Ovis aries: one gene and its partners. The protein of the gene in region 2 binds, or shares a complex with, the protein of the main gene of each other region. Links are inferred from orthologs where the notes say so. Each region holds a gene or a part of one and is shown on either strand. Other genes may lie near its edges.

The links.
Region 1: the proteins of RAD9A (region 2) and RHNO1 are in contact, whole or in part, in a crystal structure (PDB 8WU8), measured with the Homo sapiens proteins. The link is inferred for Ovis aries from reciprocal best matches to the Homo sapiens genes RAD9A and RHNO1. Residues at the interface, in NP_004575.1 of Homo sapiens: Val41, Ser44, Arg45, Ser46, Ala47, Tyr48, Glu130, Leu132, Gln133, Ala134, Val135, Glu165, Tyr181, Glu183, Thr216, Phe217, Cys218, Gly244, Pro246, Val261, Leu262, Ala263, Thr264, Leu265, Ser266; in NP_001239428.1 of Homo sapiens: Thr88, Lys90, Phe91, Pro92, His93, Leu94, Thr95, Phe96, Glu97, Ser98.
Region 3: the proteins of RAD9A (region 2) and HUS1 are in contact, whole or in part, in a crystal structure (PDB 3GGR), measured with the Homo sapiens proteins. The link is inferred for Ovis aries from reciprocal best matches to the Homo sapiens genes RAD9A and HUS1. Residues at the interface, in NP_004575.1 of Homo sapiens: Leu157, Pro158, Pro161, Val176, Ala186, Lys191, Ala192, Met193, Val194, Thr195, Glu196, Met197, Cys198, Leu199, Gly200, Asp203; in NP_004498.1 of Homo sapiens: Thr84, Asn87, Arg90, Ala91, Lys93, Thr94, Phe110, Ser121, Ser123, Ser126, Arg127, Ile128, Val129, Thr130, His131, Asp132, Ile133, Pro134, Ile135.

Annotation. Positions count from the first base shown.
Region 1 is NC_056056.1:212,716,028-212,719,590, reverse strand, and holds the end of RHNO1 (RAD9, HUS1, RAD1-interacting nuclear orphan protein 1), read left to right. Parts: 5' UTR 1-53; coding exon 54-224; intron 225-1,789; coding exon 1,790-2,344; 3' UTR 2,345-3,022; downstream 3,023-3,563. UniProt on the Homo sapiens protein: Involved in microhomology-mediated end-joining (MMEJ) DNA repair by promoting recruitment of polymerase theta (POLQ) to DNA damage sites during mitosis.
Region 2 is NC_056074.1:41,696,414-41,699,957, forward strand, and holds the end of RAD9A (cell cycle checkpoint control protein RAD9A), read left to right. Parts: intron 1-86; coding exon 87-196; intron 197-312; coding exon 313-568; intron 569-659; coding exon 660-800; intron 801-1,571; coding exon 1,572-1,785; intron 1,786-2,086; coding exon 2,087-2,182; 3' UTR 2,183-3,028; downstream 3,029-3,544. Other genes in the region: PPP1CA (serine/threonine-protein phosphatase PP1-alpha catalytic subunit), read right to left, coding at 3,145-3,255, 3,335-3,469. UniProt on the Homo sapiens protein: Component of the 9-1-1 cell-cycle checkpoint response complex that plays a major role in DNA repair. The 9-1-1 complex is recruited to DNA lesion upon damage by the RAD17-replication factor C (RFC) clamp loader complex.
Region 3 is NC_056057.1:76,188,207-76,192,344, forward strand, and holds the start of HUS1 (checkpoint protein HUS1), read left to right. Parts: upstream 1-1,325; 5' UTR 1,326-1,474; coding exon 1,475-1,526; intron 1,527-1,835; exon of another isoform or gene 1,836-1,968; intron 1,969-2,102; coding exon 2,103-2,230; intron 2,231-2,336; coding exon 2,337-2,513; intron 2,514-4,138. UniProt on the Homo sapiens protein: Component of the 9-1-1 cell-cycle checkpoint response complex that plays a major role in DNA repair. The 9-1-1 complex is recruited to DNA lesion upon damage by the RAD17-replication factor C (RFC) clamp loader complex.

The DNA of each region.
Region 1 (3,563 bases), on a different chromosome or scaffold from region 2:
CCTGCCGACAGCCAGCATCATGCAGTTGCTAACTGCTCTTCTCTCACCCGTTGATGCCTCCCAGGAAAAAGCGCCGCCAAGCTGCTCAGAAACCCCAGCTGCTATTCCACCAACAACCACTGGAGGGCCCCAAACACCGCGGTCAATCTCCCCAGCCTCCCGTGGTCACCCGCACTAGACAGGTGCCCAGCAAGCCTGTGGACCACAACACCATCACTTCCTGGGTAGGGTTCCTGCCTTGATTTCTGCTCTGCCAGGCTTCTCAAGAGTGCGTACTCTGCCCCGTGACCAGGGCTGCCAAAGAATTAGGAGCCTCACGGACTCAGCGACAAGGAGGCAGTGTTCACTCTCCCGCTGTCCTCAGCCATCTTCTCTGCTGTATCCTTTCGCCTAAGTTCAGGCTCAGGCATGGGTGGACTGGAATTGGAGTCTTTCCGCACCAGTGCCCCTGAAAGAGTTCAGTATAAAAGTATCCAGAAAAGCCGGGTGAGAAAGCCAGATAAATGGCAGAATGAATGAAAAATGAGATTGTTTCCTGAGCTTCATGTTAGAGGTGGAATTTTTAGCTAAGTAGTCTATTTACTGTTTTGGGGTTTTTTTTAAAGATTTTTTTTTAATGTGGACCATTTTAAAAGTCTTTATTGAATTTGTTAGAACATTTTTTCTATTTTATGCTTTGGTTCTTTTTGGCCAGAAGGCCTGTGAGATCTTAACTCCCCAACCAGGGCTGGAATGCACACCTCCTGCATTGGAAATGGAGAGTCCCAAATGATGGACTGCCAGGAAAGTCCTTCTGTTTACTGTTTAATGGACCAAACAGTGAAGAAAAACTCTCAGAAATGGCATGTGTTCTGTCTTGACAGTTTAGAAGCCCCAGGAAGAGAACACAGCTACAGGATATCAGAAAGTGGTGTAGCAGAAGAGCCAGACAAAAGCCTGAGCTCTGCCCCAGAGCGCCTAACAGATGTGGTCCAGGATTGTTGGGGAGAACTGGACCCCTGGCTTCAGGAGTGGGGAGGAAGCGTAGATGTTGGAGCGCTGTTGGTGGGAGGAGGCATGAGCACACAGAGGCGTACGGAGTCCTCACCATGCGCCAGGCTCTGCTCGCTGCTCTCCATTGCCTGATCTCACTCACTGGTCTGCCTTCAGCCCTTTCTTCCTACACTGGGGTCCTCTAGGTGCCAGGCGCTCTGCTAGGTGCTAGGCATCAGTGGTGAAGAAGACAGCTGGGCCCACCCTCAGAACTGAAAGGGAGATGGTTAAATGTGTTGCAGCCATAGGGTGTGATGAAGCCAGGGAGACTGAGAAACTTGCCCAAAGCCCGCATCCCTTCCTATGGTTATCCAGTAAGACAGAGAGCTGTTGTTTTCTTGGCCGTGCTGGGTATTTGCCGCTACACCTGGGCTTTCTCTAGCTGCAGCCAGCAGGGGCTGCTCTTCATTGTAATGCACAGGCTTCTCACTGTGGTGGCTTCTCTTGTTGTGGAGCACGGGCTCTAGGTGCTCAAACTTCAGCAGTTGTGGCTCTTGGGTTCTAGAGCTGGACTTGGTAGTTGTGGTGCATGGATTTAGTTGCCCTGCAGCATGTGGGATCTTCTCAGACCAGGGATCGAACCCATGTCCCCTGCGTTGGCAGGCAGGTTCTTATTCACTGTGCCACCAGGGAAGTCCCTAGGCAGCTGTTTTAAGTCCATTGCTGTTGTGGGCCTCTATTTAGGATTCTGGCCATCTGATGCAGTTTCCTTAGGTTAGCATGCTTCCCATTTATGTCTTTCTTTTGGAATCCTTAGGTATCACCTCAGTTTGATACAACAGCAGAAAGCTGGTTCCCAGGCAACCGGAAGCATCATCTTCGAGACCATGCAAGGCGTTCAAGTCGAAAATCTACCAGCTCCAGGTTTCCATGTCTAACGTTTGAGACTCCACAGTCTTTTGCCAGTTCAGCCACACCCAGGATCCCGGCAATCGGGGATGGCCCCAGTCAACCAGAAAAGGACATTTCCGGAAGGCCCTTAGTGCCCATGCTCAGCCCCCAGAGCTGCAGGGAGCTGTCGGCACACACATTTCCAGACTTCCCATGTGCATTCATTCCCCCGGACATCCAGACCCCAGGATCCCCGGGGCAGGGAGAGCCCATTCCCTCTGAACTGAGGGAAAACAGCCTTCCCAGCTGTTCCCTTCACTCGAGCACGCCGAAGAGCCCAGAGCCTGGGCCTGTTCTGGTTAAAGACACCCCAGAGGAGAAGTACGGGATAAAGGTCACATGGAGGAGGCGACGACACCTCTTCGTGTACCTCAGGGAGAGGGGAAAGCTGAACAGAAGCCAGTTCCTCGTGAAAGACTGACTGGTTTCCCAGACATCTGTGGTCTCAAGAAATTGATCACTGGAGTCAAAAGGGAATTGAATTCCCAGATTTGCTTTTTAAAATATCTTGTGTCATAAACAGTTTTTAGTATCGTAAACAGTTGACTTCATATTTTTAGTGTATTAACTGTTTAACAAATTTTAAATATAACCGTTTAGAATGTCTGTAAATAAATGGCTGCAGAGTTTTTAGAGAACCCTGCTTCTGACCTACACTAATGCAGCAATACTGCCTCCCCCTCCCCCCATAAATGGTCATTCTTAATTGTTCCCTTTAGCCACTATCTATTCATTCTTTTAGTCACCTCATTCAAAGTAATTCAGTCCACATGTTTGAGGACCAGCTCGGTGACTGCTTCCTTTTTGACCCGGTACATGGAAAAACTTGGAGCAGACTGTGACTTTTCCTAGTTGAGCTGCTGTCCCTGCAGTCTTGGCTCATCTGAGAGGGCAGAGTGAAGAGAGAGCAGCAAGCATGTAATAAATACGGTGAAGGGGGGTTGCTGGGGAGATAAAGGGGACATGATTAAGTTACCTAGGGTTGCTATGTTTTGATTTTTTTGTTTCCAGTTGAAATAACCTGTAAATATTAACTAGGGTGGGGAAATGATTTCTTGTCCTGTTTAAAATGTAAATAAATCTGTAATCTTTTCAAATACTACTTCTTACTGTAATTAATGCAGAGGGACTGTCCAGTCAAGAAAATATCTTACTTTTCCTCCCACCCATACAAGTATCTTCTCATTTAACTCCATTGCCTCAGCCTTCAGAACGTAGTCTGTCAGGTCCAGCCAGAGCAAGACAAGCAGGGATTATTTTCAATGTGGGGATTTGAAGCACAGATAATGAACCGGGTTTAGGGTCACACAGTGAGTGGAGGCTGGCCGGCGAGCACAGACCTCGGCTCTCCTAGCTTGTGCCACATTTTCTGCGTTTTAAAAACTCAAAACGTGGACGCCACACTAGCTTCCGAATCGAACGCCGCAAAGTCAACATGCGATGAGTTTTGACAGGATGTTCTGTAGGGCCCGTAAAACTGCGAATAAATTGGGGACAAGATTTACTGGATCCGACAGCGGATCTCATTACGAGATACAGACGTTAGAAGACGGCGGCAGGCAGTCAAGGGCGGGAGATGGAAAAGACCGTCAGGCAAGCGTGCAGGGCAAGTTCGTGGACGTCCTAAAAGTCTGCGCAGG
Region 2 (3,544 bases):
GTGCCTCGCTGTCCCGCCTCCAGTTCTCTGAGAGCAAGCCACTGGGCAGGACTGAGCCTCGGGTGAGATACTATGCCCCCTCACAGGGTCCTGGTGGAGGCTGTTCTGCCTTTCCCCCCTGCACTGGCTGAAGTGACGCTGGGCATCGGCCGTGGCCGCAGGGTCATCCTGCGTAGCTACCAAGAGGAGGAGGCAGGTGAGGGGACCGATGGGGCTTGGGGCAGAGAGCAGAGACTGGGTGGGGAGGGTGCAGAGAGCAGAGACAGGCTGGCTGGGGCAGAGCCCAGCTTCCTCCTGTCACTGCCCCCCAAGACAGCGCCATCAAAGCCATGGTGACAGAGATGAGCATCGGAGAGGAGGATTTCCAGCAGTTGCAGGCCCAGGAAGGGGTGGCCATCACTTTCTGCCTCAAGGAATTCCGGGTGAGGTTCCTGCCGTGCGCTCACCGCCCCGTCCACCTCTCCTCCCTGCCCAGCCTCCATGCTCTGCTTCTCCCTTCCCAGGGGCTCCTGAGCTTTGCAGAGTCAGCCAACTTGTCCCTCAGCATTCACTTTGATGCCCCAGGCAGGTAAGGTCCAGCCTTGGGATAGGGAGGGGAGGGCTCTGGGGTGCCAAAAGCCAAAGGGCCTTGACCACGCCTGGACCTGTCACCTGCCCAGGCCAGCCATCTTTGCCATCGAGGACTCTCTGCTGGACGGCCACTTTGTCCTGGCCACACTCTCAGAGCTGGACTCGCACCCCCAGACCCTGCATGCCCAAGAGGAGCTCCAGCGGCCAGAGCCCCAGCTTCAGGCTCACAGGTGAGAGCTCCGCCCGCCCACCCCCCTTCTCACCCTGTGCACCCAGGCTGCAGCCTGCCGCTTCTAGTCTGCAGCCCCCCGCTTCTAGTCTGCAGCCCCCACCCCATGCGCCTCCCATCTCCACTTCCTATTGAGCCCCAGCCCCTACAGTGCTCACTGCTTCCAGCCCTGCAGGCTGAGCCTAACCAGTCAGCTGTATTCAGAGATCCCCCAACCCAGGGAAGTGTCCCCAAGGTCGGGCTGGCTTCCTTCTCTGGCTGAGGCCTCCTCCCAAGCCAAGGAGGGAAAAGGGCTGCCGAGAGGCAGGGGGCTGCCTGGGATGGGGAAAGCAGGTGGCTGAAAGGGCAGGTGGGTTGGGGAGGATGGGCCCAGCGTAGTTTAAGTGGAGGAAGTTTGGCCTGGCCCTCTGCCCAGCATGTCCCTGGGCCCCAGCGCTCTCCAGTTCCTGTCCTCTGGGAATGTGGGGGCTTGGGCCCCAGGTGGCCCAGCTCACTGGACTTGCCGCTCCCCTCCCCCAGCCGAGCTGAAGCGGCCCCCAGTATGCCTCCCTCAGGCCTCTACCTGAACTCTGATAAAAGAATTCTCGGGTCGACCCCCTCCCGGAAGGGGCCACTTAAAACACCGCCCCCCATCCTTTCCCCTCCCACCAAATCAGGAAGTAATAAAACCAAGAGGTCACTAATGGTTACTAGGCTCCTGCAGGCCCTGGCTGAGCCCTCCAGGTGGGGGCCCTAACTGTGTCCCCACCGCTGATACCGTGTCTGCCTGTAGCACGCCCCACGTAGACCTGGATGACTTTGCTGTCGATGACATGGACTCTTACATGATCGCCATGGAAACCACCATGGGCAGTGAGGGCTCTCGGGCACTGCCCTCCATCTCCCTTTCACCTGGCCTCCAGCGCCCCTGTAGCTCCAGCCCCCACTCAGAGGAAGATGACGACATGGAGCCCAGCACAGTGCCTGGGACTCCCCCACCTAAGAAGGTAGGGGCGAGAGGCGGAAGGGCTTCCCTGGTGGCTCCGATGGAAAGACTCTGTCAGCCACGTGGGAGACCTGGGTTCACTCCCTGGGTGGGGAAGATCCCCTGGAGGAGGGCATGGCAACCCACTCCAGGATTCTGGCCTGGAGAATCCCCATGGACAAAGAGAAGCCTGGTGGGCTACAGTCCATGCGGTTGCAAAGTCAGACACCACAAGCGACTAAGCAGGAGGCAGAGGCTGGGATGAGAGGCGGAGGGCGGGAGCAGCCTCCAAACTCACCAGGCTTCCTCTGTTCTCTCGCCAGTTCCGCTCGCTGTTCTTTGGCTCCATCCTGGCCCCTGCACACTCTCCCCAGGGCCCCAGCCCTGTGCTGGCTGAGGACAGTGAGGGCGAAGGCTAAGCCGAGCCAAGAAGGGGCCCGATGAAGCCCCACCCCACCCCTCTCCCAAGGCCAGCCACGGCAGGTCCGCTCTCCTCCTTGGTGGGTGGTAGAGATGCGCCCTGCTGGAGCTTAGCTGACTGGTCCCACCACCTCCCCCAGGGCCTTGACTGGCCTGGGTCTTGTTGTTTCCCTTCAACCCTCAAATCTTTCATTCAACCCTCAATCTATCATGTCTGTTCCCAGTCTCGGTGCTGAGCTGCCCTCTGCAGGGAGTTCCCTCACCTCTTAATCCAGTTCTGTGGCCAGAACTGGAGGACTGCCTTCTCTAAGCCCACCTCCCTAAGAAACAAAGAAATCATTGTAGGGCTTCTGCCCCTGCTGATCCACCTTCTGCCAATCATGACCTGTCCCTCCCTCAAATCCTGAGCACACCACTGGGATCCCCTGTGACTGGCACACACTGCTTGCTTTCCCTGAACTCTCTGGCCCTGGCTTGGAAATTCCAAGAGCCCCTGCGGACCTGGGCACGTGGCTGGGGTTTTCCTGGCTGGGGCCCGAAGCCCAGCAAGCCTCCCAAGTGGCTCTGGGCGGAAGAGTTGCCAGGCCCAGTGTTTGGGACAAGGGAGACAGGCTATGGCAAGAATCCAGCTTTGACCTTTATTCAAGAGACCAGATGGGTTGCCCCAGGATCCGGCTGCCAGCCCTGAGGCCAAGCAAGGCTGGAGATCCCCAATCTGGCCCTGCTTTGCCCTGAGCTGCAGCCTTAGCCCCAGGATCCTGCCTGCAGCCGCTGTAGGTACAAGCGGGAAGACCCCTGGGGGACTGGATGCTGCTATTGATTCATAAAAAAAAAAGAGAAAAATACACCAAGCCTCCATGTTCCCCGTGATGGGTGGGCCTGGGGGGCCAGCACGAGCCCCCTGTAGCCACATGATTTCTGTACAATCCACCATCTGGGGCAGAGGGCGGGCACACGGAGGCTATTTCTTGGCTTTGGCGGAGTTGCGGGGTGGGGTGATGGGCCGGCCTCCAGGGTTCAGGCCACTGAACTGCCCATATTTCCCCTTGTTCTTGTCGGCGGGCTTGAGGATCTAGAAGAGAAAAACTGGTCAGGCTTAAGGGGTCAAGCCGTAAGTCCCTGGGCCTGCCTGCCCCCGGCCCGACCCCCACCTGGAAGGAGCACATGAGCGTCTCGTCCACGCTCATCATGGCACCTGCATTGTCAAACTCGCCGCAGTAGTTGGGGGCTGAGAAGAGTGTCACCAGCTGCCGCTTGGCAAAGAACTCGTAGCCGTCTTCTACTACCTGGACGAGGGTGGAGGCGGTTAGTTCAGCAGGAGCTGGCTGCCAGCCCTGCTCTAACCCAGATGGGGGCTGCCA
Region 3 (4,138 bases), on a different chromosome or scaffold from region 2:
GCTCTGGTGAAGTTCGTCTTGAATAAAAACTGCAGAATTACTATCAGTGTTGTCAACTACAAATTGGCACTTACCAACAGCATTGCCAAGGACTGAACAACAAAGGCGTTTGCCATCTGCCTCTACGGAGATTGAACCCCATGCTGCTAAAGCTGTTGACCTTCAACAACCTCTGAGGGAGTTTAGGGTGGAGTGAGGCACTCTTGTGTTCCAAGGAGTCTGGTGGGACAGGTCTTTAAATAGCTGGATGTTTTTAGGAACAGATTTTACGGTCTCAATCCTTGTAGCTCCTCGTATCTAGAGATATCAGATCCTCGTGACGAACAAAAAACCTTTTGTAAAATGAGTGTTTCATGGTATTGAACTCCCCCTTCACCAAAACCTTATATATTGACTCTCTGCCACTGCCGCTTTGGAGTAGTCTCTCAGAACTATCTGAGATGGGAGAGCTATCTGCAGCCTCCAGGGCTGCAGTCCTCATTTTGCCCCAAATAAAATTCACAACTCTCAAGTTTTACATCTTTTTTTAGTCAACAGTGTTGTTTACAACATCCAGTGTTTAGCACTGTTTGTTAAAACAAATTTCAAAGCATAATCCAACGTGGTGCTACAGTGCTGAGGTACCAGTGTGAATGTCTGAGCCATGAAAGGTTCTAAAGCTCCCCTACCACAGAGCGGTGTGTATTTAAGGAATAGCTTAACACTTTATAAATAAGAGACTTGTCAGGGGAGTGTTATCTCCTCGGTTCCGTCTTGTCACAACAAAAATTTGCAGCGACGGACGTTAAAGCGTGCCACAGCTCTCAGACTGTGTTATAGCTCTCAGCTAGACCATGTTATAGCTCTTGGACAGATCAGTGTTACAGCTCAGTTTTATTTAGAAAATAAAAGGAAATATATCCTCAAGGCATGAGGGCATGACGACCCAAAAGACGCTAAGAGAAGAAAGAGCAAGCACGCGCGCTTGGGAGACCCCCGGCCCTTTGGCTCCTCTGTTTATAGGTATTTTCCTTCCCCTGGGAACTTCCCTATTTAAATTGGGCTAGCCAGGAGTGCTGTTTTTTCTACCTGAAGTCCTCACTCTGGTCCTTGAACCTTCCTTTGTTCTATTTTCGCGGGCTTTTCCCTTCCTTGTTTTTTAGCCACCGCCATTCTGGACTCCTTTTTCCTATTCTAACTACCTAGCAAGACTGATTTTATTTCCTATGTTCTAAAACAGAATTGGAAATAAGTTAACACAAAGCTCAACCTGTAAAAACTCAGAGGCACTTCCGGTACCAGAATCGCGTCACTTCCGGCAGAGTTCCCGTCATCCCGAGTGCGCCAGCGGAAAAGCCCGCCTACTCTCCGCAGGCGCGTCTCAGGCCCAAGTGGGCTGAACCCAGTACTGCGGTGGCGTTTCCCGCGGGCTAGTTAAGGCGGGACTCTCACGAGTCCGGTGCGGACGGGCTCCTGGCGCTTGCCATGTCCAGCCATGAAGTTTCGGGCCAAGATCGTGGATACCGCCTGTCTAAACCACTTCACGCGTGAGTAGGGGCCGCGTCAACCCTGGGGTCGGGGAGGACTGCAGAGGGCAAGGCGGGAGGCTTGCACGGAGCGGTGCGTGCGGCCGGTCCCCGCGAAGAGGCTGGCGCGCTGCACAGGCTGGCCAGCAGCAGCTTGACGCGGGCGCAGGTGCTGAAGGTTGTTTATGAGCTTTGATTCCTTTCGCGTGGCTTTTCTTAACTCGGCCAGTGGCTTCATGGACCACTTTATCTGGCGCAGGCCGCCCTTCACAGCCAGGCTCCGTGGTCCCCCTGCCCCAGCCGTGTCTGTCCTTGCCTTGATCCCTGCAGCACTCGGCGGCCCCGAGTGGACGTGAAAGGGAAGAAAGCGGCCAGTAGGCGCCAGTTAACCTCCGAGTCTCAGTTTCCTTATTCCAGGTTGTTGGGAGGCCAGCTTGACCCCAGCGGCAATAAAAGCCTCCCGGTAGGTAGGAGTGGAAACGTTGACTTTCCCGCTGGGAAGCTCACTGTGCGCAACTGGTAATTCTGCGCTAAATTGGTGTTTTGGATACCTAACGTACCTCTCAGTCAACTCTTTACTGAAACCTTTTGCTATAGGCGTTAGTAACATGATAGCCAAGCTTGCCAAAACCTGCACTCTGCGCATCAGCCCGGATAAGTTGAACTTCGTCCTCTCTGACAAAGTGGCCAATGGAGGGGTGAGCATGTGGTGTGAGCTGGAACAGGTGAGTGGAGGCTCCTGAGAGGCCTGCAGCCCACCCCTCTTCCCCCACCCTCGCCGAATTCCAATGGAAAGCGCGCAAATGTCCCTCCTCCTTTTCTTTCCCTTAGGAGAACTTCTTCAGCGAATTTCAAATGGAAGGTGTCTCCGCAGAAAACAATGAGATTTATTTAGAGCTCACATCGGAAAATTTATCTCGAGCCTTGAAAACTGCCCAGAATGCCAGAGCTTTGAAAGTTAAGCTGACTAATAAACACTTTCCCTGCCTTACAGTTTCTATAGAGCTGGTGAGTAGGAAGCTACCATTTCTGAAACTTCCCAGGAATTAGTAGTTATATAAGCCTTGGCTTTCTACTGGAGAAGCTAATTGGTTTTATTAAAAGGAGAGATTGGTACATCACTATTTTTTCATTGGAGTTGGGTCCTCCTCGTATTTAAATAGCATTGTGATCTCAAAATCAGCGAGGATGCTGGTCTTCCTATGAAATAACACTTCTGCATCTTTCTTCTCAGATCTGCATATCCCAGCATGTCCATTTCTTTTAGTGGTATTGTCGTCTAGTCTAAAAACCATTTTTGCCTTTGAAGTGTTTGTGTGTCCCTCCCTTATTCCCTCACTTCTGCTGCTAACACCTTTAAATGACCTTTAGTTTTCAAGGAATACATTTATCTTCCACCCTACTCCCAGCTGAATTTAATGCACTGGTCTCTTCAGAACACATGTACTCCACAGGGTCTCACTGCTTACAGAATGAGGTTGACATTTCTCATGTGCTGTCCAAAGCCTTTCAAGTGTCGCTCAACCCACTGTAGAGCCACTTATCTGCCCTGAGTGGGTGCCCAGGTGTGTCCCATTCGTTCCCAACTCCCAGGCTTTGGTGAGGTTGGGTCATCTCCTTGGACTCTGTGTTCTTCTCACTTGTTGAAGCCTTTTCTTCCTCTAGTGCCCAGCACCAATGCTGCCTCCTTCCCTTATCCTGGTAACCTCTCCTTTGTCTGTTCTGTGTACTTTATTTTTTCCGTGAGTATTATATTCAGTTTTATGCTCTTTATGGAGGAGGATTTCTCAACTGTATTTTTTAATTAAACTATAGTGGTTTTACAGTGTTGCACTGTTAATTTATGCCTTACAGCAAAGTGATTGAGTTATACATATATAAGTATTCTTATTTAAGTATTCTTTTCTATCCCGGTTTATCTCAGGATATTGAATATAGTTCCCTGTGCTATGCAGTAGGACCTTGTTGTTTATTCACTCTATATGTAATGGTTTCCATCTGCTAATCTCAAACCCCTAGCATCTTAAGGCGATTTCTGGCGGCCTCCTCCAGTCCTCTCTTTAGGTCTGATTTCTGAAGCTTGAGCATCAGCTCACAGCTTCTGCCTACACGGTTGGACGTGTGTCTGAGGCTGGGAGTGTGGGGAAAGTGGCATCACCAGTCTGTGCAGGGCTGTCTTCATTCTGCCTTCTGTAAACTGCTTAACTGCACTCTCCTCCAAGGCTCCACAGCTCACCCTCTGTCCCTGCTGGTCTCCCTGCCTTCCTGTGAGGGGACAGTCAGGGTATGGGAACCTTTATTCCTTCATAGCTCTTTCTCCCTGGGGTGCAGGCCCCGTCCTGATTCCTTTCTGGTTTTTTTTGTTGTTACATGAAGATTTTCTTGTCCTTTCTGAAGCCTGAGTTCTTCTGCCATGTTTCAGTAGATGTTCTGTGAGAATCATTCCATGTCTAGATATGTTTTTGATGTGTTTGTGGGAGGAGTGAGCTCCATGTCCTACTCCTCCACCGTCCCAATCACTCTCTTCTTTAACTTCCTTTTTCTAAGCTCTGTTAATACTTGTTGAATGGACGTTGGTGACTGAATTGAGAACACTTAGGTTTGGTATCAACATTTTTTGTCTTTCAGTTCTT